Linked DNA regions of Mus musculus: all the other regions are reported to be linked to region 4. Evidence: microRNA targets listed by miRTarBase, many of them from high-throughput screens and not tested one by one. Region 4 holds a microRNA gene; each other region holds the end of a gene's coding sequence.
Evidence for each region. Region 4 holds the annotated microRNA mmu-miR-709 (GGAGGCAGAGGCAGGAGGA, at 1,254-1,272, shown strand). A microRNA usually pairs through its seed, bases 2 to 8, with sites in the 3' UTR of a target mRNA and lowers its output. Matches are read on the target gene's strand: a 7mer-m8 pairs with bases 2 to 8, a 7mer-A1 pairs with bases 2 to 7 and ends in A, and an 8mer does both.

Region 1: the mRNA of Car8 is a reported target of mmu-miR-709. The part of its 3' UTR that is shown has no 7-base or 8-base seed match.
Region 2: the mRNA of Hnrnpc is a reported target of mmu-miR-709. Seed matches in the 3' UTR shown: 7mer-m8 at 3,446-3,452, 7mer-m8 at 3,440-3,446 and 7mer-A1 at 3,184-3,190.
Region 3: the mRNA of Ncf2 is a reported target of mmu-miR-709. Seed matches in the 3' UTR shown: 7mer-m8 at 1,456-1,462.
Region 5: the mRNA of Sppl2a is a reported target of mmu-miR-709. Seed matches in the 3' UTR shown: 7mer-m8 at 3,630-3,636, 8mer at 2,343-2,350, 7mer-m8 at 977-983 and 7mer-m8 at 971-977.
Region 6: the mRNA of Tceanc is a reported target of mmu-miR-709. Seed matches in the 3' UTR shown: 7mer-m8 at 4,046-4,052.

The regions. Positions count from the first base shown.
Region 1 is chr4:8,165,265-8,170,496 of GRCm38, reverse strand. It overlaps Car8 (carbonic anhydrase 8), which reads left to right. Exons shown (of 9, transcript NM_007592.3): 8 at 732-901. The coding sequence ends at 866. Among named protein-coding and RNA genes, the nearest start is that of Car8, 71 kb to the left of the region's middle.
Region 2 is chr14:52,070,888-52,076,119 of GRCm38, forward strand. It overlaps Hnrnpc (heterogeneous nuclear ribonucleoprotein C), which reads right to left. Exons shown (of 9, transcript NM_001170981.2): 7 at 4,726-4,839; 8 at 4,368-4,549; 9 at 2,490-4,273. The coding sequence ends at 4,193. Among named protein-coding and RNA genes, the nearest start is that of Hnrnpc, 31 kb to the right of the region's middle.
Region 3 is chr1:152,835,304-152,840,535 of GRCm38, forward strand. Ncf2 (neutrophil cytosolic factor 2) reads left to right here. Exons shown (of 16, transcript NM_010877.5): 16 at 699-1,687. The coding sequence ends at 811. It overlaps Smg7 (Smg-7 homolog, nonsense mediated mRNA decay factor (C. elegans)), which reads right to left. Exons shown (of 23, transcript NM_001160256.1): 21 at 4,999-5,169; 22 at 4,732-4,877; 23 at 1,692-4,082. The coding sequence ends at 3,969. Among named protein-coding and RNA genes, the nearest start is that of Ncf2, 38 kb to the left of the region's middle.
Region 4 is chr8:84,084,914-84,088,913 of GRCm38, forward strand. Mir709 (microRNA 709) reads left to right here and starts at 1,186; the gene lies at 1,186-1,273. Rfx1 (regulatory factor X, 1 (influences HLA class II expression)) reads left to right here. Exons shown (of 21, transcript NM_009055.4): 8 at 660-754; 9 at 2,793-3,159.
Region 5 is chr2:126,890,474-126,895,705 of GRCm38, forward strand. Sppl2a (signal peptide peptidase like 2A) reads right to left here. Exons shown (of 15, transcript NM_023220.2): 15 at 1-3,813. The coding sequence ends at 3,739. Among named protein-coding and RNA genes, the nearest start is that of Mir3473g, 9.3 kb to the right of the region's middle.
Region 6 is chrX:166,498,064-166,503,295 of GRCm38, forward strand. Tceanc (transcription elongation factor A (SII) N-terminal and central domain containing) reads right to left here. Exons shown (of 5, transcript NM_001007577.2): 5 at 1,749-5,232. The coding sequence ends at 4,255. Among named protein-coding and RNA genes, the nearest start is that of Tceanc, 9.8 kb to the right of the region's middle.

The DNA.
Region 1 (5,232 bases), not on the chromosome of region 4:
TGTTTATTTTCTCAATATTTAGGTTTCTTTGGTGGGGGGGGGGGGCTAATACTTTAGATGTTCAGGGCTCTAATGCTCTATCAGATGAATATCTGGATTTTTTTTTTTTGAGTATTCTATGCAATCTCACAGCAAATCTAACACCAAATCATCTCACACCCAGTGACGTCAGAGCAGGTCAGCTAGGGATGCCCTCGGGAAGGCTCAGAGCATTTACTCGTTTGTTCTCCCCCTTATTCTCTGTGTGTAGTAAGCTGACACAAAAATTTTGTGTGGTTGGATTTCCACATTAACAAACCTAGTAGGTTTCTGTAGACAATGGAATTACCCGGTTTCCTATTGTCTTCTTTTAAGGCCCTTGTCTAATATCCTTAGGTCTGGAACAACCAAATCTGTCTTACTGGCTTAAAATTTTTTGATTTATTATTATTTTAGTGTGTGTGTGTGTGTGTGTGTGTGTGTGTGTGTGTGTGCAGTACCCCTGGAGGCCAGAAGTGGGGATTATATCCCTATTGTGGGTACTGGGCACTGGACTCAGGTCCTCTGCAAGGGCAGCATGCTTTCTTAACCACTGGGTTTTTTTTTCCAGTTCTCTTTTTCTGTTTTTGAGGTTCACCTTTCATTTTCTCTTTTATACTATAATTTATGGATATTTTAAATTGCTTATGAAATTCTGAACTTGCATATGTATGGTTAGTGACTAATCTTCTTTATTCTGCTTCTCTTTCCAGATAGAAGAATTTCGAAGGCTGAGGACACATGTCAAGGGGGCAGAACTGGTGGAGGGCTGCGATGGGATTTTGGGAGACAATTTCCGACCTACCCAGCCCCTGAGTGATAGAGTCATCCGAGCGGCCTTTCAGTAGCCAGAGAGACCGGGAACAAACCCATCTGCATCAGTGTATGTAAAATTAGACAAGGAAGTGAGACACCTTAGCCCAGCATCCCAAAGTCATTCTACAGACTGACTGCTGAAATGCATGTCACTGTAAGACATTATGGTGCATCCTCTGGCTCCGTTAGTCACAAGTCAGGGCAGTCCTTTCGTTTCATGCAATATATTTTCTTAAATCTTTATTTTCTCACTTGAAAATCCTTGATCCCAATTTCTGCCTTACTGGTGGCTTTCCTAAGGAAGAACACGTGGGGTTAAGAGGCAGGAATTTGCAGCGGTCTCTTTAGCATTCACTTTGTCATCTGAAGATACAGCAGCAACTTCCTGTGATCATGGAGCATGAAAGGCCTAGAAGAATTAGCCTTCCTGTTTAGCACCTTGTAGGGTCATTTGTTCAGCGGTGTATGAAGGGCTGATTGGGCATGTCTGAAAGTCCTGGAGAAGTCTTTGTTGTTAGCATATGTTACTTATACAGGATAATAGGTTTATGTGTGACATTTTCGTGTATATGACCTACTTTGGTCATGTTGCTCCTGCCCTTTTACTCTCTTTTGTTTGCTTCTTAGAAGTGCTTTTTATTTGCTAACTGAAGAGGCATATATTTTAAATAGTATTATTTTATTGAATGACATATTGAATTCATCATATTTATTACTTATGCTTAAGAAGTTCACAAACAGGAGAAAGATAAAAAACACAAGGTTACTATGTATTGGAATCTTTCCTTACCTTGTAAGCCACCTAAGTGTGCTTTGGTCAGAGAAACTGTAGCAGACAGCTGCTTCCCACAATGGGGACACCTCTGCTACAACAGAACCTGAAGGAACAGGACAGAGCTGGGACTGGTGATGAACCCTTGAGAGTATGTCCTGATATGTGAGTTGTATTAGTAACATAGCACAACTGTGAAGTCACAGTTGAATGGAAAGTTCAAGCCTTGAAAAGCTCACGGTCTCATGACCTGCCCGACCGCTATTGATGGAGATTTTCAAAAGGCAATGATATCGTCAGTCTTCTCTTCTCTCTGCTTTTAGTCTGTAGTGGAGACTTTAGCTTTCTGGAGTATGCTTTGCTCACTCTATACTATACATCCTTCCTTTTGCCTATGTGACCTCTCAACTGCCTGGAGCTCAGCTTAAACACCAGTCTCAGTAGGGATTCATGCTTTTCGCTTACTTCATTTCCTGACCCATCTTCCATATAGCTATTTACGTCTTTCTTATTTTTCTATTGTATCTCTGTGGGTTGGGATTGATTTGTTTCATCATGAATCCGCTATAAGACATGATGTGTTGTATCTGGCTTGTCTCCAGGCCAATTAGTAGTTTCTCAGAATGCACGTATAGAACAGTCAGCCTCAGGTATTCTCATCTCTCAACCGGCCAGTGTAGTACTCCCTCTAACTTGAGACAATGAAGGTCCGGCAAATCCACCATTGCTAGCAATGGGAAAAGTATAGTAATTCAGATGTTTAGATGAGAAAGTCTGAGTGTGCTATAGGCCAAACTTCAAAATAGATAAGCCGAAGAAGTAAAATGAGTTACATCCAAAGTTATTATTGAGCATTTTTTCTGACTGTTGTGGGTGTACCCAGAAAGAAATACATGGTTCTGCCCTCACAGAATCTAGAATCTGAGGGAAGAAGTTGACAATAGAGTAGTAAGTGCTCAAAAATACACAGTTGCAAATAGTAATGCTTCATATGAGTGAGAAGAGCTCAGGAAGAGGCAAAGGAACTTCCAGGAAGGGAAAATATCTTTCTGCAAAGGCCTCATGGCATGCTTGCTGTGGAGGAGGCAGGGCATAGGTCCACTGAGATCCCTGAAGGAAAGCCTGGTGTGTTTAGAATAGAGAAATAGAGGCTGAAGTATGAGAGACCCACGCAGCAGATGTTGTCAGTCACACTAACGTATCTTGATATTATTCTGGATGTATCATGAACCTGTAAGGACCTTGACTCAGGGGAGTAACTTTATCCCATGTCTCTTTAATAGCACACCGTAAGAAGAAATAGAGTAGATTGAATAAAAGTGAACCAGAGCAGGAGCAGAAAGATTTTAGAAATCTGTTGGGTAGCCAAAATGATGGACATGGAGACCCAGACCTTAGATTGGAAGCAGTGGCAATGGAGAGTAAATAATGCATAGGACATAGAAATTATAGACGGTATCCACTGATGAACTGGGTAAGGCAAAGGTGGAAGGAGATAGAATTGCCAGATTAGGGAGCCTCAGGTTACCGTGCAGACATGGCCAAGTCCAAGAATCACACCACACACAACCAGTCCCGCCAGTGGTACAGAAATGGCATCAAGAAATCCCCGTCACAGAGATATGAACCTCTTAAGGGGGTTAGCACCAAGTTCCTGAGGAACATGTGCTTTGCCAAGACGCACAACAAAAAAGGCCTGAAGAAGATGCAGGCCAACAATGAATGCAAAGGCAGTGAGTGCGCGCGCAGAGGCCATCAAGGCCCTGGTGAAGCGTCAGGCCATCAAGTCCAAGATGCCAAAGGGCCCCAGCTGCAAACTCAGCTGCCTGGCTTTCATAGCTCACCCCAAGCTTGGGAAGCAGATTCAAAGCTGCATGGCCAAGGGCCAAAGGCTCTGCCAACCAAAGCCTAAGGTTCAGACCAAGACATGGGCCAAAGCTCCAGCTAAGACCCAGGCTTCAGCTCCCAAAGGTGTCCAGGCCCCTGTGAAGGCCCCACAGAAAAGGCTCCTGCCAGTGTGAGGACAGGTAGACTGCTGTGACACACCTAGCCACACACTATTTGCAGATGACCAGTGTCCTATGCTATTTTTACAAATAAACTCAGGCAAGATCTGTTAAAAAAAATTGTCAGATTAAATGCTGAGGTTTGGGTCTTAGGAAGCCATGCTTAGAATACCATTGAATAACAGCAGGAAAGTGGAGGAGGCCATTTTGGGATGAGAAAAATAAAGAGTTAAGAGTTTGAGTACGTTGACAAGGAGATACCTGTCCATCATAATAGTGGGCTTGTATAGGAAGCTTGCTAAAATTTCAGGTGTGGAGACGCACTTGTCAATTTTCTCATTGCTCGGACCAACTATCTGACAGAAACAACTTAAGGACTAAGAAGTTGTTTTAGCTTATAGTTTCAAAGAGTTCAGTCCATGGTGCTCAGCTCTGTCTGTGTAGGCAGAACATGATGGTACTAGGTCCTTGTGATAGAGGACCTTCATGGTAGACAGGAAGCAGATACAGAGAGAGGCCAGGCCAGGATACAGCTCAAAAGCCATTCTCTAGTCATATGTGTCCTCCAACTAGGCATTGCACCTGCCTCTCATCCTCTCCATCACAGGAATCTACCAAAATATTAATACACTGGGTTGGTCTGAGCCCCTGTGATCTAATGCTCTGCAAACAGTGCTGAGCTTTTTAATCTCCTGGGCATTTCTTAATCTAGTCATGTTGAAAATCAAAATGAAGCATCACACAAGATCAGAAAATTAGTCTGTGTGAGATATGAAAATATTTGTCACAGAGGAAAAAATGGCATTCAAATGGATCAGAGGGGTTATTTCACTAAGTGTTTATGGAATCTTACGTGGGACTTTATAGTAGAGGTAATTGAAAGCCAGGCCAATCACCGCCTAAAGGAAATTCATTGCTTGAACAGTGAGGTTGAAAAGCTGACATACACAGCTTGGCTGGCCTCCTTTTTCTTCACACCCTTAGGCTGGGGTCAGAGAAGGTCTCCACTGTGATGCGAGTGGCTTAGCAATGAAGGATGCATGTTGCTGGGGCTGGGGTTCGTAGAAAGGGCTACAGGTACGATGACTGGACACTTCTGAGAAGGGTGTTTGTTTAACTTTACAAATGGCTACCCAGTTGTTTCTCAAAGTACTTTCAATCCCACCAGAAAGAAAGCTCCAGGTCCTTCACACCACCAGCACTGTTGGGCTTTATTGGTCTTCCTAAAACAGCTATTATCACATCAAGCGCACAGATTAACAGTATTCATTGTGATATTTTACACATACATGTCTGTGTTTATGATGATACAGTGGGTCAGGTGAAGCAGAACACTGAGATTGATTTTAGTTTGAGCACAAATTGTCTGTGTCTGTGTGTGTGTGTGTGTGTGTGTGTGTGTGTGTGTGGTGGGGCGGGGGGAGGAGCAGAGTGTGCAGTTGAGCAGTTTGTTCTCTGGGACAGATTTTAGTGTTGAAGACTTTGAGCCTTGAACGTAGCAACCCAGAGCACGCACCAAGACAAGTTTTGTGAAGAGCAGGTGCTTTGTGTGTTCCTAGTTGAAGGAAGAAAGGGGTGCTGATTGGGCCTGTCCGTCCCTTGCTTTGTTTTTTAACATAG
Region 2 (5,232 bases), not on the chromosome of region 4:
GTTGTTCCTACTGGAGCTAAAGGCAGAACACTAAAATAGCCCTCAGAAGCTGAGACTAGCCCAATATGGGAAATCTGATAGAGCAGAGGAGCAGCTGCAACATAAAAGCAGTTTGAAGTCGGACGTGGTGGCGCACGCCTTTAATCCCAGCATTCAGGGAGGCAGAGGCAGGCAGATTTCTGAGTTCGAGGCCAGGCTGGTCTACAAAGCGAGTTCCAGGACAGGCAGAGCTACACAGAGAAACCCTCTCTCGAAAAACAAAACAATGTAAAAAAAAGCAGTTTGAGGGCAGCCAAAGCCTTCTGAACGAAGCCTTGATAGCAGGCAGGCAGTGTTACGGAAGCAGCTCTGTGCAAAGTTCTGCACACAACATATTTAGCTAAGGTTTTCAGTCACAGACCCTCTACACAAGTTAATAAGGGTCTGGGTGAGACAGACTGGCAGCTGAGTGTGGCTGTCTGTCTATACTACCTCATCCCATTAAGACCACTGGCTGAGAATCAAGAGCGCTTTGGTACATGGATACTTTTTTACATGACTAGGACAGGCAAGGCAGACATCCATAGAAGTCAAAGTCCATAGATTCCTAAGCATTTTTTTCTTTTGTAGGAACTTTTATTGGAGAGGGTTCATCAATCCTTTTTAGCTGCCGCTTTCCTCATGGCTGCCAGTCCGTTGCTCAGCTCCTCCGGCTTTCTCCTGGCGTGGGTGTGCGTGCCCACCCTTTGTTTTTAGAGACAGGGTTTCTCCGTGTAGCCTTGGCTGTCCTGGAACTCACTCTGTAGACCAGACTGGCCTCGAACTCAGAAATCTGCCTCCCAAGTGCTGGGATTAAATGTGTGTGCCACCACTGACCACTCTCTTAATGAACTTGAGTGCGCACTTGTCCTTGGACACTTTGAGCAACTGGAGTTGTCGTTTGTTGGTTGCGAAGCCGCACACCTCCCGGATCATGCTCCGCACGAACTTGGTGTGCTTGGTGAGGCGCGGCTTGCTGTCACCTTGTGGCCCTTGCTGAGGCCCAAGGCCATGGGATAGCGCTGGGAAGTGGGCTGCACTATGAAGTGGGTGGATTCCTAAGCTTTGATGGAAACATTTAAACCTCCCCAACACCCAAGACACAGGGTTTCTCTGTGTAGCCCTGGCTGTCTGTTTCCTATGTATTTCATATATAAAGGTGCAAGGTGTGTGTATATATATCTTAGCCCAGCAGTGGTGGCGCACGCCTTTAATCCCAGCACTCAGGAGGCAGAGGCAAGCGGATTTCTGAGTTCAAGGCCAGCCTGGTCTAGAGTGAGTTCCAGAACAGCCAGGGCTACACAGAGAAACCCTGTCTCGAAAAGACCAAAAAAAAAAAAAAAAAAAAAAAAAAAAAAAAAAATTAAAAAAAAATTTTTTTTCAGAGTAGCAGGGAAATAGTGGCACAGGCCTTAGAGGCAGGTGGATCTCTAGTTCATGAGCAGCCTGATCTAGAGCTAGTTCCATGACAGCAAGGGCTACACAGAGAGAACCTGTCCAAAAAAAAGACACTTTGGTCCAGAATCTTCAGGTAATAGGAAGTGGAGAGCCAATGTGTCTCACTTATGGCTTATGTAAATTTTAAGGTGCTATTCTGTTACTGAGTCAGTACATTTAAATACACATACTCTTGTGTGAGATATGTGGATGAGTGCATATGCCAAAGTGCACATGAGGTGAGAGCTCTCCTTGCACCTTTATATAGGTATCCCAGGAATCAAACTCAGAGCAGGGGCTCACAAGACAAATACTTTTACCTGTGGAACCTTCTTGGTTACCCATAACGACACACAGAAAACTCAAGGTTATCTTGGAATCAAGGAACAGCAGAAACTGAAAAGATTTGGGAATGGGTTAGGAGATACTGCTCTTATATTCCTGAAATTCATAAAACTGTACTACACTCCAAGAGTCAGATCTCATTATAGGTGGTTGTGAGCTACCATGTGATTGCTGGGATTTGAACTCAGGACCTTCAGAACAGTCAGTGCTCTTAACCACTGAGTCATCTCTCCAGTCCTCTACATTATTTCCTAATTCTCTGTATTCCCAACTAGAAAGGAGGCCTAGAGACATGGCTCACTGGTTGGGAGCAGTGACATTTTGAATTCAAATCCCAGCAGCCACATCAGATCTGATGCCATCTTCCACCCCAATCTTTTTTAAAAAACTAGAAATGAACAAAATCTCACAACTTTGAAAGACTTAAGATATTCTCATAGTGGAATAAACCTGTGAACATTTTAACTTGACAAGTTTTAGTATTAACTTAGTTTAATACCACCAGTAAAATATCCTAAATAGTTCTCTAACAATATCTAAATAGTTCTAAATAGTTTCCAAAATAAACTAGCAACAGCAGTTTGAGGGAGGGCCAGGGATGACACCCTTTTTTAGTCACATGCTGGCACTTAGTGTTCCTATGAAGACACAGGCTCCTGAGTCTTTTGCTGATGTATATACCAACTATGAAAAGGGACAGAACCACAGTCTTTATTCTCAAATTTCCCAACTGCTTTTTTTGGGGGGAGGGGGCGGGGGAGTCACCTGAATAAATACAATACCCAATATCAGAAAGTACCCAATACTGAACTAATTGAACCCACCCCAGCATTTTGTACACACCAGCTTCTAACAGCATATTTAAACAGGTTTTATTTATTAGCATCTTTAACCTCTGATATCTAGCCAATTCCTCAAAAACCCAAGACAATATCAAGATTAGGGGAAGGGGCAGAGGGGGGTCACAATAAAAGCCATTTTTATATTTGCACACTGGAGCCAAGGGAAGCCCCTAGATCAGCCTCTCCTCAGTTTTATCATGGGTTACTTTTGCCTACAATGCATAGCATGAAAGCATAGACTTGCAGCTGTATGCTAGATATACACAACAGGGTCTTTTTGAGAAGTAGAAAGTCTGTGTGCATAAAAGATTTGAATAGCCTGCTATACAAAAATAAACAAACAAGCCCCCAAATCTGTTTATACCTTTACCTTATGTTAGGTCTTACACAGCAAAATGTTCCAAGCTGACTCAAACAAATCAAGAAAAGGGGTAAGAGTACTTCACATGGGTAATTATAACTCTCGTTATAGACTCAGTTCTTAGGAAGGCAAATGCTATATAAAACGGGAAAGACAAATGCTTTCCTATTTTGAAACTTTTGAGGCACAGGTTGAGAATGCAATAAAGAAACCTGGGTTTTAATCAGTAACTGAACATTCAAGCACTCCGTGTCAAAAATATTTAAAGTTAACAATGCTCTCAAAATGACTTTTATTCATATATATTGGTATGCATGAAGATTATATTTAATACAACCTAACGATTTGTGGAGGCTGCTATTAAAAAAAAAATGTAATTGAAAAACTTTCTTTCCAGCAGGGTGTGGTGGCGCACGGCTTTAATCCCAGCACTCAGGAGGCAGAGGCAGGCAGATCTCTGAGTTCCAGGCCAGCCTGGTCTACAAAGTGGGTTCCAGGACAGCCAGGCCTATATAGAAAAATCCTGTCTCGGAAAAAAAAAAATTGTCTTTCCTTCAAATTCCTGGTTTAATAAGGAACTGTTTATTTTTGAGAAAAAGATCCCAAACATCAGGCTGTTCACAAAAATAACCCATGGTATAACTTTAGAAAACAAATATTAAGACTATTACACTATTTTCCTGTAAGATGCATTTGACATGCCAACTCCCATTCACAAAAATACATGGTTACATTCGTGTTGTAACAGTCCCACTCACGTGAGGGAAAACACACACCTCTAATGCAAAGCTGCTCTTGGGGTTACAAGTAAATGAGATGCCTCTGCAGTTAGGGAAGCAACTACTGAAGTCATGAATGGGAAGAACTGTACTCCCTGCATAACAAGAGATTATTTTGGAGACAGTTGATAAAAACCATACAACTTTTTATTGTTAAGTCAAAGAGGTATCAAAATTAAAGCAAAACTTACAGGGTGAGACTTAACGAAAGTACTACGGAGCATCAAAGGAAGTGGAACTGTAACTAGGCGCAGGGCAATCATGAATTAATGAACACAGGGAGGGTAAGGCGGGACAACAGTGAGAATGTGCAGAAGACCCCAGGGGAGATGACCTGGTGTTACTTTCATCTCCCACAAACGCCTAGGTAAATGAATAATGGGATAAGATTTCTAAGCTCCACTATGTGCTTAAGAGTCATCCTCCCCATTGGCGCTGTCTCTGTCGTCTTCTCCTTCCTCAGGCTCTTTTTCATCATCCTTCAACTCCAGCTGTGAGAAAGACACAAATAAGGGAGAGTTAGAGGTACTCTTCTCATCCCTGGACCCCAGTCCTCCCAACTTTCTTTTTTCCAAAGGTAATCACCTGGTCATCCCCCCGATCTTCATTATCGTCATCATCCAGCAGGTCACCCTCCTCAGCAGAGTCATCTGCACCTGCCTCAGACTCCATCTTCACATTAGTCTCATCTTTCTTCACAGAGGCGCTGCTCTGCTCTTCTTCAGACTTTTCATTCTTCATCTCTACTGGGGATGAGAAGGACAAGTCTGTCCAGGGGCAAGTGTTGCCCACAGGATATAGACAATTCCCATTAATCATCAAAGAACAAAAGTAAAGTTTTCCAAATAAATTAATGCCCCTTCCAAACAGCCCAATTTGCATATACATTAAACCACCTTAGGAAGATAACCCAAATTCAATTAGAAAATTAAAAGACTATTACCTGCTTGCTTGCTTTGTTCTTTTTCAATTTTTTCCAGGCTTTCCAGAAGAGAATCCACTTTTTGTTTTATCTGAGTCAGCTCCTTTTTAATGGCCTGAAGGTCATCACCTTTCACTGTAACAGAACTACAATGTTAGACTAGAATAAAGCACCATTTACCAGTTACTGAAAGTGTTCTTTCTAGGTGCTGTGCCTTAGGTCTCAGAACCACAGGAAGAAATGTTTTTCTAGTTAACAATTCAAAAAGCTGAAAGAAATACAGAGGCACCAACTGCAATAGTAACTAGTAATCTTTAGTCAGCAAATGATTTAAAAATAATTTTTAAAAAAAAGCTATAAATGCCTTACATAGTATCACTTTAACCTAAACATGTATTTTCCTGACCAAAAAAATATCATTCTATTTTATAGCAACTTCTAAGTTGTCTTATCATTGTGTATGTGCCCATGTTCATGAAAGTGTTCCGATACAGGGAAGGCTTTCAGTCTCCTGTCTACACCCCCATT
Region 3 (5,232 bases), not on the chromosome of region 4:
TAGATTTTGGTAAGAGGAGGCAAAAGCAAATGCGTGGCTTTCTCCTGTCCTTGACTTTACTAGGCACAAAATGATGACAACATACTGACTGTTCCAGAATGTAACTGGCTGGAACTATTCTGTCTCTGCTAGAACCCATCAAGTACTTTCCAGAGAGAAGGGGAGGTCCATTCTGCTGCAGAGGCAGCCAATTGTCAGTGACTTACCTGACTATTAGGAACCTAGGGATTACAGGGTAACATGGGCAGGAAGGGTACCATTCTTGTGAAAATCTGGGTGTGGCCACCATTCATTTCATTAAAAGCCTAAAATAGCTATTATAATGCATAGTTTTTACAAATGTACTAAACCTATCACTAGCTCCAATTTTTAAGGCCTTGATGAACCTTATGGCGCTTACCACCATGCCCTTTCATGTTATCAAAATGAATTCTAGCAGAGCTCAGATAAAACTACTTCTTAAAAACAATTCTGACCTGAGGCTTCATGTTCAGTCTTATTCATTCTACATTTTACTGTGTATTTATTGCATCCACAACAGAACCCCGTTAGATGGTAAGTCTAATATTCAAATTACTTTCCAGTTATTTTGCTACCATAAATGGGAACAGGGGATGACTAATAGGGTCAATGGACCACTCACGATGGTACAATCTTTCCCGTTTTTAGTAATCAGTGTATATTTTGCTTTTTATCAGTGAATGAAGAATGGCTGGAAGGGGAGTGTAAAGGGAAAGTTGGCATTTTCCCGAAGGCTTTTGTTGAAGGATGTGCAGCCAAGAATTTGGAAGGCATTCCCAGAGAAGTCTAGGATCTACAAAGCTGAAGCAAAGTGTTGTTTTTCCCCTTGCAAGACTTACCCATCTCTGCTGTGCGCTATACAGACACACCAGTTTGGAAATGTGGCCTAACTTACCATTTCCCTATTAAAATTGAACCTGTCACACAGCAATATGACAACTCAGAAGATTTTCTTACAGATGGAGGAGGGGGAGACAAATTTTCTGCAAAGGAAATGAAGGTTTGTGTGTGTGCTGGCTACGTGAATGTACTTAAGAATTCCCAGAGCTGCACACCAATGGGCACACCTTTCTGCTGGGAAAACAGGACACCCAGTGTCCAAGTCCAACAGTTCAGTGGAAAAATAATTAATAAAGGGTTCTTCCTTTATTAATTGCTTGGGTTCCAGAAGCTTAAAGCAAATTTATATGTAATCCTGAAGGTACACACAGACAACTCATTAAAAAACTTAAGCTGCATTAAAGAAAAGGCAGATTGAATCAGGTTCCCATGAAGCACACCATCCAGTCCCAAGGAGAATGGAACTCTTAGAATGACAGCCCTTTCTGTCCCTCAGATGGACAAACAGGAAGAGAAATCAACCACCCCCCAGATCACAGCCATCACTGTTGGCTTTCATCAGATTCAATGGCTTTTATAGGCCAGAGGATGCCTCTGCCTCCCAAGTGCTGGGATTAAAGGCATGCGCCACCACTGTCCAGCTATGGCAGACATTTTAAGCTAGCATTTCTAGAACAAGTCACTGGATGCTAAGAAAAGCAAAACCCATCCCCAAGCCTACCCAGTTGTGGCCATTTTTGTTTCTTGCTGACAAGTGAGCAGTTGAAGTTCTAAGCTGTATTTTTACTGCTATATCCTTTAAGGTAGAATAAATCCTCTACACACCGATCTGCTTGGAGAGAACACGGTTTAATTAAAGGCAAAGCTGATTTCAGCAGCTGCAGATCTTGCACAGACAGACAGACAGGGGGGAAAAACAACCCCAAATCAAATCAAATCAAAACAAAACACGAAAGTTTATTACACAAAACCAGTTGATGAAGATTCTCCTCCCCTTCTTCATTACCCCACAGTGAGGATGGCAAGGCGAGGAACCCCGCCGAGAGAGTCATAAACATTCCAAACACCAAATTCTCATGCAGACTGGGGCTATAGCTGGGAAGTGGGTACTGCAGGGAGGGAACTGGTAAACCTGTTGGCTGGTCTAAGGTGCAAGAATCAGTGACATTTCCAACCTCGGAATGCTGCAGCTGTCTGAATGCAGAGCTTACATACACAAACTGGGTGAAGGTAGCAGGGAAGGGACAGGGAGAGGACAAAGATGGACACAGGGAGGGACTGGAGCAGCACAGACAGTTTCTTTTGCCATTTAGTGAAGGGTTTCACTTTCAGACCTTTCAAAAACAAAACAAAACAAAAACCAAAACCCAAAAAACAAAACAAAAAAACAAAAAAACAAAAAAAAAAAGAAAAAAGAAAAAAAATCCAAATACCATGTCAAACTAAAAGAGCAATAGAGTAAGCCTGGGGCTTCAAGCACTCTTTCTGAAGAGCAATGAGCAATACCTTACCCCATCTCATTTCGGGGCTGCCCAGACCCCAGTGACACCTGGGGCTCCTGGATGTGCTTTGCTCTACAGCTGTCCTTCAGCTAAGCTCCACACTATTTCCCACACTTAGCCCTTGCCCTCTGGGAGAGTAGAAAGCCATGTGTGGGACACACACGCGCGCACACACACACACACCTCCCAGAAAATAATCCCTACCCTAGCACAGCAATTGGACATTTAGATTGTTTCCATAATTTCCCATTAAAATATTACTTTTCCAGGAAATGACTAACAGAAATGCTGTCCGTTCTTCTGTTCCTACACAGAACATCTTCAGTCCTCTTTCCTCCTAATATAAATTATCAAATAGAGTTTATTCCTTTCTCTTGCCCTCTCCAAAGTGGCATCTGCTGTGTTTTCTTCTGTGCACAGTGTGCATCTGTCTCTGTGGCCTTCAACTTCATCCTCGAGGTGAAGGCCAGGAGCTGTGACTGGGCATAGCCCGGCTCCTCTGCAGTGACGCTTGCACTGCCGCTTCCTTCCTCTTCAGACTTCAGGCTTTTGGGCCCCAAGTGCTGGCCCCATGCTGCTGTTTCGTGGTGAGATGTTGTACACGGTAGGAAGAAAACAATGACTACGGTACAGCATATGGCTAAAGGGTGGAGACTGATGCAAGAGGCTGGGAAGCAGGATGGGGACACAAAAACCAACTCAACAAAAAGAACCACACTGAAAGCATCCACCTATTAAAATGGGTTCCAGGCCGTGAATGAACTAGCCTGCCTTCTGAGACTGCTTGCTACGCTACTGTAAAGTGTAGGAATCCACCACATGAATTTGAAATCGTACAGCAGCCATCTGCTGGTCTAGGCCAGCAGCACTACCCACACTGCATCCTCTATTGGGGCTCGAGCACCTACAGAGTGAAGGGCATTTCCTGCTGGAGTTTCCAGGCTGGAGGAAGGCCTCTCCCAGAACCTTCTAAGAGGCCTTGTACCCTCCCTATGAAACACTCCCACTGGCTTAAGAGGTCAGTTCCCTGTCCTGTCACCACTGACCTCTCACAGGAGCAGCAAACGGGACTGTCTTTGCTCCACACTGACTAGAAATACGCCTGTGTATGGAAGAATTCAGTGTGATATTTTGCTACTGAGAGTAATAATAAAAGATGTTTAAGAATAATTTCAACTACATTCTCAGTCAGCAAAGCACTCATAATGGATTCCTATTTTATTCCCCAAAGAGGAAAAAAGGACTGAGAAGTTCCTATTGGTTTCTCCCATCTGCCTTCCCTTCTCAGCTTCCACTTCCCACGTGTTGGGGACATGCGCGGTGGAGAAGGTGAGAGGCGTGCTATCAGTAACCGAGTGGGACAAACAGCAGCTCCTCTCTCCCTCCGGAAAGCCCCGGGGGAACGAGAGTTCCTGATGGTTTTTTCTTTTTGTTGCACTGCGAACATTTCGTGCACACTCAGCGGGCTGGTGGAACACTTACACCCTCTCGACAGCAAGAAACAGACAAGAGAGCTGCCACCTGCAGAGACTGTGTGGGTCAGTCCTGCAAACCCAACATGCCATGGTTTATGGAGCCTTCATTCCCTGGGTTGCTCCTGTGGCCTCAGTGTGGAGGGTTCATGGCACCTTGTCCCCGCTGCTGTTTCTGCTTCTGCTGCATTAACAACTGCTCCAGAGCGGAGGGCCCAGGATGCATCATGGAACTGGACCAGATAGACTGAAAAACAGCCCCAAAACTTGTCAGCAGAAGGCAAATGCTTTGGCTGTCTGACAGGGATTTGTTTTAAATCTCAGCCACCCATAAAGACAAATTTGTCCTTTAAATCCACTCTAAATGCCAATCAACTCAGCTCTATTAAAAGTCATGGAACTCTCAAGACTAGACAGTTCCTAACTAAGATAATTTTGACACTATGAACAGTGGAATACAACTTTTTAAACCCCAAGCCAAGGTTATTCCTCCTACTCCGACCACTCTTTTGGAATTACATGCACCAACATGTCCAGCCCAAACTATGTTTTAAGTCAAATCAACTATGTTTTAAGTCAAGTTCATATGGCATGACAGTAAGTTTAATATAAGGTTTCCAGCAAACAAAACATTGTAGACCAGGCTGGCCTCGAACTGAGAAATCCGCCTGCCTCTGCCTTCCAAGTGCTGAGATTAAAGGCCTGCGCCACCACGCCCAGCTTACATACTCATTTAATAAGTCAAATAAGGCTAAACTCAAACTTAACAGGATTTAACATTAGGATGAAACTAAATGCTCTAGCATTTTGGATGCCCTGACAACACACTCAAGACGCCTCTCAATCCGGGATAAAAGCAGAGACACTGCTGCAGCAGGAGCCACGTGAGCACTCACCTTTAGGCTTTCCATGAGGACAGCAGAGGAATCCTCCATGGAGGGGCCGTGGCCTGTCCAGGTGCCACTCGGAGTGCTAGCCTGATGCCAACTGCTCTCAGATGATGACGTTGCTGAGAGATAATCAACACCAAAACCACCCATGGCTAAGAGATAACAATAGGTAAGAATACAAAATGTTTTGTAAGTGGCAAATATCAAACTTCAGGCAAAAATCAGAGCAAGCCACCCCCCTTTGCCTTGTAGATAAAGAAATGTGGATCTCACCTGGTTTATCAGTTTTCCACCTATCTGCAGGCCGCCTATCCCTGTTATCTGGAGTCCCAATGGGTCCAAAATTAGAGAATGGAGCAGAATTATGGTTATGCGTTGGAGGAGAACTGGGCAGGCTGCTTGGGTTAGAGGAATGAGGAGACTGGCTGGCTGGTGTCGAATGATCTGTTGAATAATTATGAACATAAATAGGGGTTTCCCACACCAAACCAAGAACTAACATTTTCT
Region 4 (4,000 bases):
CGGAGGCACGGCAGGGGGCGGAGGGCGGGCAGGGGAAGGGCATTCAGCCCAGCAAGCCGCTTTGCCTCGCCTTCAAGTCCAGGCTCCCAGGCTTCGCCCCTGCAACCCAAGGCGGGTGGGGTGAGATGTCTTTACCCTGTCCCCCAAAGTGCTGCCAGTCATTCTTGTTCTGCCTCAGGGACTGGGTCCCAGACACGGCTCCTGCAAACCAGGGTTGGGGGTGGAGGTAGGCTATCCAGTACCTGCCCCTAAGGTGTTGTCAGTTGTTTCTAGTTGTTCTATCAACTGATCCCTCTTCAGGCTCCACCCCTAATCTGCTTGGGAAACCTTTTTGGTTTCCAGAAAACCCCCAGGCCCGGTTTTTAGATTGCAAACCCACCTCTCAAGCCCATTGCAGAATTCTGTCTGGTATCCCCTCCTTTGCTCATAAGCCTTAGAAACCTCTTTGCCAAAGCAGAGAATCCCAGCACCTCCTGTTTTCCAGCCACAACTGAGACCTGGCCCCACCTAAGCCTCCTACCTAAGCCTCCCACCTCTGGCCCATGTTGTTCAGAAAACCATGATGTGCAACCTTCTAGATGGGGATGTATGTGGGCATCAGTGAACCCGTGGGTGGTGGTCAGCCCTGACCCATGACCCTGCTTTTCCTCCTGCTTCAGGTACAGCAACTCCCTCAGGTGCCTGTCCCACACGTGTATTCCAGCCAGGTGCAGTACGTGGAAGGTGGCGATGCCAGCTACACAGCCAGCGCCATGTAAGTGGGCAGAGGGTGGAAGGAGGGCTCAGATGTGGTTAGGGCCACAATTCTAACTCCCAGCTGGCCCCCAAGGCTCAGGTGATAGCCCCACACCTGTGGGGTGCCAGGAATATAGGCAGCTGGTAGCAGAAGAGACACTGGCCCATTGGGAAGGCACCTCCACAAATTAGGAGCTGTGCAGTTAGATGGATCTGGATTTTAGGCAGGAAAAGGGGAAAGAAAAAGCATACATATATGTATTTATACATACATTTTTACAACATAAACTTTTTTTGAGACAATGTCTCTCTGTATAGCCCTCACTGCCCTGGAACTTGATCTGTAGACCAGGGTAGCCTTGAACTCAGAGATTTGCCTGACACTTCCTCTCTCGTGCTGGAACCACAGGTTCTCAATCTGACCCTCAGTGTCCCACAGAGTAATTAGTGTGTCCCGTTTCTCTGCTTCTACTCAGAAGTGCTCTGAGCATAGAACTGTCCTGTTTGAGCAGCACTGGGGAGGCAGAGGCAGGAGGATTGTCTTTTGTTATATTGACTTATGTGTGGGGAGAGTGCATGTGCTGTGGTGCAGGTGGAGATCAGAGAACAACCTAGAGGAGTCCGTTTTCTCTCTCCTTTACACAGGTTGCAGGGGCAAATCCAGTTCCTCGGGCTTGCATATTCTGTCTTACAATTTTTCTTGGGGGTTAGGGAGATAAATCAGTAAATGGCTTGCTTCTTGCTTATCAGACCTGAGAAGCAAGGTCATGACCTGAGGTCAGAACTCAAGTACTAGGTAAGAGGTTCATGTGGTGAGTCTCTGACCCCAGAGCCACCTTGCTGGCCCTCGTGTGTGTGTGTGTGTGTGTGTGTGTGTGTGTGTGTGTGTGTGTGTGTGTGTGTGTGTGTGTGTATACACATGTGTTCGAGTGTGTGCATGGGATGATGGGGGGGGGTTGTATGCACCATGTATTGAGCGTAGTGCCAATGCTAACACTGGAGTCTGTTTGCTGTGTGGCTTTGGGGATCAACCCCAGGTCTTCGGTCTTGATGGCAAACATCCCCACCCACTGAGCCACCTGCAAGGCTCAAGTTTTCCTGCTTTAATCACTGTCACATTGGGAGGGCTCAAAGAGCAAAAGTGAGAGGTGGCCCTGCCTGTCCCCTCCCCACAGAGAGCCTTCTGCCTACACACAGGGTGGTCTTTTCCTCATCCCAACCTCTCGTTTCTGGCTGTCCATCGGTACCCAGTGGAGGACTCAAGGCAATCATGTTGCGTCTCCTCTTCCTGCCTCACCCCCTCTAGTCTGCAGCCTGCAGAGATGGGCCCAAATGTTAGGGTGGCTTGCTTGCTACAGTTGCCCCTCTTAGATCTGCGGCTTATTACCCTATGCGGCACTCAGGACATATTCTGAGTTGGAGGGGCAGCTCCCTGCCAGGAAGAGGTAGCCAAGGCGGCCCCTCTGCCTACCCTGCAGTCCTTTGTACTTTGCCTTCCCTCCTGTATCTCCCTTCCCTGGACTGAGAACTGTTTGTCGTTGTTGCCGAGGAAGTACGTTCTGCATTCTGGACCCTGTCTTGTTTTCTCCTCTTCTGCAGTAAGGAAATTGATTCCTGTGCTGGAGTGCAGTGGTTCAGTACCAGTGAGTGCTGTGGCTCAGTACCAGTGAGGAGAGTGATTCCTGTGCTGGAGTGCTGTGGCTCAGTGCCCAGCGAGGGCTGGTTCAATGGCTCAGCAGTGCTTGCTGCCGGGCTTTACAGTCTGAGTTCAGTCTCCAGGACCCACAGTGGAAGGAGAGCCCCGCCTCCCACAAGTTGTCTCTGACCTTTGTGTGTATGCCACGGAACACATGTGCCCCTCTCCAAGTAATAAGTTAATATAAAGACATGTTTTAGAAAACAAGAAAGTGGTTGCCCATCCAGTGCTCAGGCTGTCCCCAGTCCCTTATATGTGAAGGTGCCACACTGGTGTTTCTGTGGCTTCTCTGGTCCTCTCCTGGAACCCCTGCCTCCTTGTACAAGGTGGTGACCATTGCTTCCTGTCTGCTTCTTGGCAGCCGCTCTAGCACCTACCAGTACCCGGAGACGCCTATCTACACGCAGACGGCAGGCACCAGCTACTATGAGGCTTCGGGCACGGCTGCCCAGGTCAGCACGCCGGCTACTTCCCAGACGGTGGCCAGCAGCGGCTCAGTGCCCATGTATGTGTCCGGCAGCCCAATTGTCGCCAGCTCATCCAGCAGCGAGGCTGGGGCCAGCAACAGCAGTGTGGGTGCAGGGGGCAATGGGGGAGGCGGCAGCAGTGGTGGTGGCAGTGGCGGCAGCAGCGGCAGCGGAGCAGGCACCTACGTGATCCAAGGCGGCTACATGCTAGGCAATGCCAGCCAGTCTTACTCCCACACCACCCGTGCCTCACCAGCCACAGTAAGTGTTCGCCTTATTCAGAGGTGAGGGTGGGGGGAACACTCGAGAAAAAAACCTGGCAGTACTCAGAGAGCAGAAGTTTGGCCCAAGGCATAGCTCAGTGATAGTGCTCATATGACCTAGGGCCTGGTCTCATCTGTGGTGTTGCCTTAGGTGTTGCTCAGCCACTCTGTACCTCAGCTGCTATGTGAAGCTCTGAGGACAGTTGCAGAAATGCCCTTAGTCAGAACTGGTGGTGGCTTGATAGGAAATGAGAGATGGGAGCTCCTACAATCACAGTGGCAGAGCTGAAGTCAGCCCAAGTTGGGCCCATTATCAGTCAGGACCATGGATCAGGTCAGAACACTGCACCCTCCACATGGCAGCACACCCTGGCTGCTGGTCTTCACTAGTTTAGTCTATTTAATAAACCACTGCTGCAAACCTTCTGATTTCTCAACCCTGTGGGTCCTCTGGTGCAGCGAGCAGGTCTGCTGAGAAGGTGCACGTTGTTTGTGCCTGGACTAGACGCCTCTCACCTCGGTTACTGTTGCACCCAGGTGGCTAAGGTCCCTGAGGATCTGTGTTGTGGGCTTTTCCTTTTTCAGTTTTATTTGAAAGACTTATAGGCTCACAGGAAGCTATAAATATGGTACCAAACCCTGGTTGGGTGGCACGTGCTTGTGTGACCCCGGCACTGGGGAGGCAGAAGCATGAGTGGGTGTGAGGCTCCAGAGTTCCGAGCTGGTGAGGGGTACCCAGCGTAGCCTTCTTTCATGACTCAGTAGGTAGAGGCCCTGGCTACTAAGCTTGATTACCTGAGTTCAATCCCTGAAAGCCTCGTGCTGGCCAAGACCCAGCT
Region 5 (5,232 bases), not on the chromosome of region 4:
AATTGGCACATCATGATGAAGAGAGCTTAACTTACAGCTAAATTAATACTCCAAAAATTTAAGTCTTAAATCATGTTCCATAAAAAGTCTAATAGTGTTATAAAAATATTAATTTACACTAACTTACATAGAAAAGTGTTAGAAAAAGAATCTCATATTCAAACCAATCATCTAAGAAGTAAAAATCCAATTATGCATTCTTAAAAAGTTACTAATTTGAGTACAATGTATTAGGGGGGAAAGTGGACAAAAAGCTACTGAATTTACACTCACTTGTCCTATGGGGGAAGTTGAAGGCCAACCAGATATATGGTAGGTATTTTTTATGTATATTTCAAAGGAATAGGAACGCTGTTTATAGTATTTGTAATGCCTAGTCAAACCCACCACGTGACGTGCTGAACTGATCAACCACTACATCCTTGAGTTGATCCAGTCTATTTTTCTTATTTACAGAAAACTACAAAGGCTGCTTTAACTAGTGTAGTCTACCCATCGGGAGTCCAACTGCCAGCTCTGAAAGTTCACTGACAGGAATCAAACCGGAGTTCTAGCGAATCAGTTTAACAGACTAGATATATTTTCATCCAATGTAAAATAATCCTGCTTTGACCTAGAGCCGAGACGGAGGAGCTGGACATACTGCTCAGAGGTGGGCGCAGCACTTGCTCAGTGTGTGCACAGCCCTGGATAAGCGCCCCATGACGGAAAAATCGCTTTAGAAATGTGGACATTGACAGAGCAAAGGAACTTAGAAAGCTCATTGGAGTTATTATAAAATGCCACTCTACCCAAACCTGTATGCACAGTAACTAAAATACATGAATGCCAGCAGCATATGGAAGGACAGATTTCCTTCAAAAGGGCATCGAATCACATTCTAGTATAAAGTGTAATTGCGAATTAAAGTCAGCCACAAGCTAGAAGAAAATAAAAATGCATTTATGATTAATATTTTCCCAGCACTCGGGAGGCAGAGGCAGGCAGATCTCTGCATTAGAAGCCCATCTGGTCTACAGAGTGAGCTCCAGGACAGCCAGGGCTACACAGAGAGACCTCTGTCTTGAAAAAAAACTAACAAACAAACAAAAAAAATCAGTGATTTCTATTTGATAAGCCACAAGTGTGGAACTTTCTAGCAAGTATTTTATTTTGTAGTAAATACTAATAAATACAATATATTTTGTTTTAAAAGCATGTTTAAGGGGAAAGAAATCCAACTTATCTACCTCTTAAAAAGTATTGGTGTTAGGTTAGCAAGAGAGGAAGAGATGACAAATTTTCAGAGACAAATTTTCAACTCTGGTATCTATTAGTTTTGATTTCCAAGACAAAGTATTTCTGTCTTTTATTTTCTCTATGGAGGTATTTTCAACTATGTTGCTAGGAGGGCTGTTTAAGTAAACATGAAATTGGCAGTGAGGGTAGAGAGACTCTAGGAAATTCTTTTGTTATTTATAGCTACTTAGTAAGTTGTTTCATTGGCAGTGCTGGGGAAGGCACTTTGAACATGGTAGGCAAGTACTCTAACACTGATACACTCCAGACCATATAGAAGACAATATGATGGCTGGGTAAAATAGAAAATGTTTCCAATAAGTTGGAATTCAGATTTGTAGATGTGTTCATGGTTTTCTGGAGCAAAAGTTTAGATTAGGAAATTAAGATATTAGCTACAAATTAATAAAACCAAATTATTTTGAGATATCATCTTATTTCAATGTGGTTTTAAAAAGAATAATTTTCTTTAATAGTCTCCATAAAATTGTAACTGTTGCTTTTGAATATCGCGACTTGAATGGGAATGCAGATGTTACTAAAACAGCTGTATTTTGGCAGGCATTTTATTGACAGTTGATGTGAAAGTACAGTTAGAATTGTAAATGGCACTTATCTCTTGCCAGATAGCTTTACTGTAAACAAAAGACCCCATCCGGTACCTAGAAGAACGAAGCAGTCCCGCTTCTTTGTCATCTACTCAGCAAAAGTTAACAATTAAACAAAAAAGCATTTAATGTGAACTTTAGTTCAAATATCAAAGGTCTAACCCATTTTTCAGTATGCCTGTTTTACTTTGAAGAAGCTGGCTTTGCCTTAACATGAACGACTGGACTGCTCACGTCTCCTGTGCAATGTTGATACAGAAACACAAAAGCCTGCGCTTCTGCGATGACTTGTCACCTGGTACTTTCTTAGAGAAATTTTAAAAAAACAAAACAAAACTTGAAGATAATTTCACCTCTAATTTCTAGAAAAACACCTGAGATTTTGCAAAGAATCAGACGGAAATATATCTGTGTGTATTTGTTTCTTTGTTTGTTTGTTTTGTTTTGTTTTGTTTTTGAGGCAGGGTTTCTCTGTGTAGCTCTGGCTGTCCTGGAACTCACTCTGTAGACCAGGCTGGCCCCAAACTCAGAAATCCGCCTGCCTCTGCCTCCCGAGTGCTGGGATCAAAGGCGTGCGCCACCACGCCCTGCAGAAGGAAATTTTTTTTTCAGGTTGCAAGCTAGCAAAGTGGTTAAATGAGTGGAGCACTCACTCATTTTAGAGGTGAGAAAAGAGATGGACTTCAGAACACTTGTGGTTACCAGACCTCACTTACACAAGAAGGACTGGAAAGCAGGGTGAAGATGATATAAGTATTGTCAGGATAGTCAAGACAAACAATAAGTTAAACATATACTATCTAGTCAGTTAAGAAAAACATTTAAAAGAAGAAATCTTACTTAATGGAATCAAATTTCAAAGATCAGAAAAAAACAAACTGAAGTTTAATACAGAAGTTTAATCTGTATCTTCAAGTAAACCATAGGAACTAGATAAGAACTAGATTCAGTTCTGGTGTCCTTCTAACAACTACTTCTATGTTTCCTTCGACCTAAAAAACAGTCTAGTAGCATGTGTACACAGATGAAAGAATTTAGGTTCTCAGGTTTAAAAAGGGTTACACGTTTTTAAAAGCTTAAACGACAAGGATGAAGAGATGGCTCAGCAGTTAGGAGCACTTGCTGCTCTTTCTGAGGACCTGGGTTTGATTCCCAGAACACAAAGGGCAGCTGACAACCATCTGTAACTCCAGTCCCAGGGAATCCAACACCCTCCTCTGGTCTCCATTGGCACCAGGCACCAGGTACCAGGCACAAATGTGGTGTACAGACAGATGCATACAGGCAAAACACCCATATACATGAACTGTCTTCTTGCAGTCTTAAGTATTTATTTCTGTAGAGGGGTTAAAAGTTACATAAATCTTTAATATACTCAGAAACTTGCTTTGACACTTACACATGATCTAACCTTAGCATTTGGAGAAATATTTCATTAAGAAAAGTACAAAGGAAGGTCAGGGTAGCTTTTTTTTTTCTTTTTTAGAAAAATATAATGTATATAATTCGTTTGGAAACTACACAAACGCTATGTTTTTAAGCTGACTGTGAAGGCACAATTTTAACATAATTAAAAGAAAATGCATTTTCACTATGTATGATGGGATTTTTACCAACTCATAAAAATATACAGATTTGCAAACATCGCTGTAAATGTTCCCAATTTTCAACTCAAACTTTGATTTAAAACTTGCTGGGCATAGTGTTGTCCAGCTATAGTCCTAACTAAACCTTTGGGAGACAGAGGCAGGACTGAACTCCAGTCCTGCCTCTGTCTCCAAGAGCAAAAAAGAAAAAAAGGCCAAAATGTATTTGTAGGAAATCAATAACACATCATTGTAAGTCCACGTAATTACTGTTGTACAATCTGCTCATCAGTCGTCACTGGATTTTCTTCATTTGTTGAATAGTCCAGGTGGTCCATCACCTAGGCAAAAAAAAAAAAAAAAGATATCAGAAAATGCAAACTGTAAAATGGCCTCCCAGTCTTCATTAATTTAGCAAAAGTATTCTGTTTTTGTATGATGTTTGTGTGTGTTTTGCATATGTGGATGTACATTTGAGGCTAGGTTCTCCGCACTTGTATGCGCATATGCATGGCTATCTTCCTTGGCTGTCTTCCACCCTAGTTTTTGAGACATGCTGTTGCTGAGACAGGAGCTTACCTGGAGCTTGCTAACCAAAGAGAATGTCGCAGGGATTTCCCAGACTGGGGTCACAGATCTACACCACTGAACTTAGCTTTCTTTCTTCTTTTACTTTTATTGTATTAAGACAGTCTGATTTATGTTGCCCTAGGTAGCCTGAGACTAACAGAGATCTACATGCTTCTGCCTCCAGAGTACTGGGATGAAAAGCGAGTCAAGCCTGAGCCCTTCCACATGGCTTTTAAGTGAACACTGAACATCTGAGCTCACACCTAATGCTTGTTCAGGAAGCACCATACCAATTGAGCTATCTCCCCTCCTCACCTCATCCCCCTTTTCCTTTTTATTGAAAATAGATTCTTTCTTCATACAATATATCCTGATTACAGTTTTCTCTCCCTCTACATTTCCCAGTTCCTCCCCACACCTCATGATTTAACTGAGCTACTCCTCAGCTGCCACCACCACACCTATTTTTAACTCTAACACTGCAGACACAGAGGCAGGCAAGTTGCTCTGAGTTCAAAGCCAGCCTTATCTAAATGGTTTGGGGCAGGACAGCCAGAGTTACACAGAGAGACCTTATCTCAGAACTAAAGTAAGAGGAACCTTGGGACTAGAGATGATGGTTCAGAGTTTGAAGAGCTCTCAGTTTGGTCCCCAACATGGGCTTTGGTGAGATCACAGCTGCCTGTAACTCTAGTCCTAGGAGGGGATCGCTTGCCTGATGCCACCAAACCTGTACTAATGTGCACATACACACATACATAAACGATTTAAAAATAATAAAAATAGGGGCTGGAGAGATAGCTCAGAGGTTAAGAGCACTGACTGCTCTTCCAGAGGTCCTGAGTTCAAATTCCAGAACTCACACGGTGGCTCACAGCCATCTGTAATGAGATCTGACGCCCTCTTCTGGTGTGTCTGAAGACATAGTGTACTCATATACATTAAATAAATAAATAAATCTTTAAAAAGTAATACTTAAAAAATAATTTAAAAATTCAAAAATAAACCTTAAAAAAAGAATGATGTTATAGAACCAAGCATTTCTTTTACAACACTGCGTAGGTCAATATCATCTTTAACTTTTCAGAAGGGACTTATGGCCCATATGAATGCATTTTCCAGTTCTCCCATTAATTTCTACTTCCCGGTGTGAATATTGTCCTTTGTAGCAGTTGGAATTCCATTTCAAA
Region 6 (5,232 bases), not on the chromosome of region 4:
GGAGGAAACCTTCCCACATTCAGCTATTAAAATGGATTTCCCACCCTATGCCGTTACCATGGAGACTGGGGTACAGGCTATATGTATTTAGTGCTCACATTCTGCACTGTTATTTATCTGATGATTGGCCACAGGGAGGAAATTTTGGATTGGGCATATTCTATGAAACAGACATTTGCAAAACTGCAAAGGGGTCCATTAACCATCAGGATGCAGCCAAAGTATATTTTTCCTTTTTTTATTTCTCTCTCTCTCTCTCTCTCTCTCTCTCTCTCTCGAGACAGGATTTCTCTGTGTAGCCCTGGCTGTCCTGGAACTCATTCTGTAGACCAGGCTGGCCTCGAACTCAGAAATCCGCCTGCCTCTGCCTCCTGAGTGCTGGGATTAAAGGCATGCACCACCACCGCCTGGCTTATTTTTTTCTATACTTTAATTTGACCATTGTTAATGGTCACTTATTTGGTGTTCCTGCATCCATCCTTGTTTCTCTCATCACTCAACAAAGCAGCTACAATGGTCTTCCTAAAAGGCACTCAAATCCCATGACTACAAATCACCTAAGTTCAATAATTTTTTTTAAACACAAACCACCCTAGACCCCCAAAGCCTCCAAGTCCTTATTGTTATCATGACTTACAATGGACCTCAGGAACTCTGTGGAGTCCTTTACATCATGTCTCATTCACATCAGCTGTTCCTTATTAGCAGGCACCTTCCCGGAATCTTGGAGTCCTCAGAATTGCTCTTTGCTCCTATAAGGGCCATTTTAAATTAGAATCTGCCCCATCAGCAATTGTAAAAAACAAAAACAAAAACAAAAAAAAACAAAAAACAAAACAAAACAAAACTCCTTTGGCTGGGCAATGATGGCATACAGCTTTAATCCTAGCACTTGGGAGGCAGAGCCAGAGAGATCTCTGAGATTGAGGCTAGCCTGCTTCATTTACAGAGTGAGTTCCAGGAAACCAGGACTATATAGAGAAACCCTGCAACAACAACAAAAAGAAGAAGAGGAGAGGGGGAGGGGAAGGGGGAGGGGGGAGAGGGAGGGGGGAGAGAGGGGGAGTGGGAGAGAAAGGGGGAGAGAGAGAGGGAGAGGGAGAGAGGGGGAGAGAGGGAGAGAGGGAGGGAGAGGGAGGGGGAGAGAGGGAGGAGGAGAGGAGAGGGAGAGAGAGAGGGAGAGGAAGAGGGAGAGAGAGAGAGAGGGAGAGGAAAGGGAGAGAGAGAAGGAGAGGAGAGGGAGAGGAGAGGGAGAGAGAGAGGGAGAGAAAGAGGGAGAGAGGGAGGGAGAGGAGAGGGAGAGAAAGAGGGAGAGAGGGGGGAGAGAGAGAGGGAGAGGAGAGGGAGAGAGAGAAGGAGAGGGAGAGGAGAGGGAGAGAGAGAGGGAGAGAGAGGGGGAGAGAGAGGGAGAGAGGGAGAGGAGAGGGAGGGGGAGAGAGGGGGAGAGGAGAGGGAGAGAAAGAGGGAGAGGAGAGGGAGAGGAGAGGGAGAGTAGAGGAGAAGAAAAGAGAAACTATTTTCTCTCTTTTAGGGAATAAAAGAGTGAGGGGGAAACTTCTTTCTCTTTTTAGGGGATAAGACACAGTGTAAAATCATTGTCTATATTTAGAAAATGTAACTGTCTCACTGACCAAAAGAATGAAACCTACATCACCATTTCCCTATCTCTTGTTGCAAAACTAACTGACAGAGCTTATGGGAAATAAGGAAGATCTCATACAATTAAAAAAATATTGGAGAATAAGAGATTTTTACATTTCAAATACTTTTATTTTTGGTAAATGTAGCTTACAAAATCGCAATATAAAAAACAATACATAGTTACATAGAAAATCCAAACATCAAACTGATTTAGACAAATGAAACAAGGTTTTTATAGGCTGTGTGTGCTGCTCTTGCACAACCACTGTCTAGGTTTTAAGATCATTCCAAGTCACATGAAACCACATTTTGGGAAAGCTTTGAGTTGTTGATGACTCTGTAAGTCACTCTGTAAAGGACTAACACATTGCACCATGGTGAACCACCCTGGAATGCCATATGGAGAAAATATAACAAAATATAACTCAGACTTGACAGCTTCAAGTTGATTTCTTCAAAAAACCTAAAACAGAAATGTTTGCTAGTTTTATGCAACTATTGGGGAACTGTCATACGGAGGTAAAAATATAAAGAAAAGCCTACAGATCCCAATGAAGGAATACTGGGGAGTTAGGGGATAATAACTAGTTAAAATATGAGTTCATATGGAACTAAGATAAAAACTCTTTAATATGATAAAATCAATGAATGGTGGCTTACACTGCCAATCATAGCACTCTGGAGGTTAAGGCCAGCCAGTGTGAGTTTGAACCCAGCTTAGGCAACAGAGTGAAGCTAGTCTTATAAAAATAGAAACTCTTCACATATTGTTGTCAAACAACAAAAGAGAAAATGTATATCTAATCACCTGATTAACTGTAAAAGGAGCACATATATGCAAGGTTTTGTGTTGATTATGTATAAAATTGTTTTACATGGTAAAAAAAAATCAAAACCCAGAAAGACAATCATTTTATTATTTTTAAGGAAAAAAATTAGTCATGGTCACATAAAAAGGCTTGTGAATAAGCATACAAATCAGTAAACACTGTTTACAAAGAACTAGGAGACGTGATTTTCTCTTCAGTTAGTATGTAAGTAAATGCTGAGATTGAAGGAGAGACTTCCTCTAACAACTAGTGCCATTTTCACATGATCAGAATTTGAATTTCAATCCCAACACACATGCCTCTGAAGGTATATAGAGTCCTAACATTAAGGAACTATATATCATACTTTTTGAAGTGCTCAAAAAAAAAAAAAAAAACAAAACACAGGGCATTCAACTAAGGAAGCAGGCTTCGAGCCAAATTCTAACTTACACTGCAACTTTTCACCAGTCAAAAGAAAATGAGAAAATTAAGGACAAAAGAGTAAAACTCCGGTCACATAAGCTTAGAGGTCCCAAACACTATTTGCTTAGCACCTATTTCCAAGAGTATACTTCTTACAAAGTCAATATTAAGTCATCCTCAGACTGAATATTTTTGAGTTTGGCAGTGTTTCTCTATCTAACTCAGGCTGCCCTCAACTATGGGATTCTGCCTTAGCATTCCCAACGCTATGATTACAGGCTTGAAACAGGATTCCCTTTTAACAGTTTTGAGACAGGAACTTTGCAAGTCAAACTGGCCGGAACTCACATAAATCCCCTGCCTCATTCTCCCTAGTATTTGGACCACAGGCATGTGCCATCACACCTGCTTGAGAAGTAAGCTGGAAAACCTGGGATCAGTGTGAAGCCGACTACATACAGTTGTGTAACCTGGGCAAGTGGGCTGCTTTCCTCATCTGTAAACTCCAGAATAACATTAATTTCTTCAGAACTATAGAAAGGCTCAAATGAGAGACTATCTACAGGTAGTTCCTAACTCTAACTGCAACTTAACAGGAACCAAGAAATGACCAGAGCAGTGTTGATTACTGGGTCCAGGCCATAGGTTCATATTGAACTGTATAGGCTTGGCCCTTGGCACCAGTACATTTCAATGTTCTCCAGAAAATTCTAATATATAGTCATTCCTGAGAACTTCAGGCCTAATGCTATGTATGTCAGTGATTCTCAAAATACCCCAGAGGATAACCTGGGGACTCTGTTAAAATGCAGATCAGGACTTAAGGAGCAAGAGTTTCATCTCTAACATGCTCTCAGGTAGTGTGGAGCTACAGTGCCACTCTGAGTAAAGCACTAAGTGGCCACAAAGTAGTGTGATAGCTTTCTATGGCCTACACTCTGGCAAATAACTCTCTTTCCTTAGTCTTAGGGTTGTAGTAAGAGCAGTATATAAAGCCAGGTGCGCCTATAATGCAAGCACTCATGAGACTGGGCCACCTTTGGCTATATAATGACATCTTTCATGAACTAAAACCCAAAGGCAAAAATAAGATTAAGATTTTGTTAAAAAAAAAAAAAAAGAGCACAAGCCGGGCAGTGGTGGCGGACACCTTTAGTCCCAGCACTTGGGAGGCAGAAGCAGGTGGATTTCTCAGTTCGAGGCCAGCCTGGTCTCCAGGACAGCCAGGGCTAAACAGAGAAACCCTGTCTCGAAGGAAAACAAAAAAAGAAAAGAAAAAAAAAACAAACTAAAAACAAAACAACAACAACCAAAAACCAAGCACAAAAGGTTAGGTTATACATATAAAACATATGCCCTTAAAAGGATTATTTACAAATCACAAGCATACCCAGTTGTTATGGTACCACTGCTCCCCACATTCATTACAAATGACATAGGTCATTTGTTCATCTGGGTTTGAATTCTGCACCCAACTTGGAAGGAAAAGTGTTCCTCTGGCAATCACAGTGACCTTGCAGTTGTATTTATCACAGCGCCTACACTTAATTTTATTTGTCCATGTGCCATCAACTGATTGGGGAAGGCAATGTTCTTGAATGCTGGATTCTGTGTAGGAAGCTCTCAGTTGCTTGAGTTCCTGGCTTGCCATGTCCAAGACACTCATTTCAGCAAACTCCCTTGCAGACATGGTTCCAGAGAGGAAGTTTTGTTGTAAATGAAAATTTCTGGGGTTTTTCAAATTGGCAACTTTGCTTCGAATACTAGTTTTATATTTTTTGATATTGTTTGAATGAAGGGTAAAAATGTGCTCTTCAATTTCTCTTGCTAAGTTCTGCCATATGTGCACTTCTGTGTGATCTGTGCAAGAACTAGCTAATGCTGTGTAAAGAAGTTCTACGCACTTAGATCTCACAGACACTAAAGTACCTTGAAACACACCTGAGCTCTTGCGAGTGCATTCAGAGTCATCACCCTTCAAATATCCTTCATTAATTTCCATTTGAGCAGTGCTACTTTCAGATCCAATTGCTGCAGCAGGCTTTGCAGCATCTTGGGGTAACAGCCTAGAGAGAGAACTGCAGAGACCCATGATCTCACTATGGCTAGAGCCTGAGGTTTCATCCTGGCTTACATCCTGAGAAACTGCTGCACTTTCTTCTTTATTAGCATTTGTGTGGAGTACTTTAGGGCTTTGCCTTGGTTTGCAGTGTGTACTCTTATAGAAACCTCTCCACTTGGCCAGCAGACACTTGGCCTTCTTCTTTAAAGTCACTGATGGGCAGTTTTTGAGGACTCTGTAAACAGCTCTGACTACATCTGTCTCCTGCAGATGCTCCTTAGACACATAAATCAT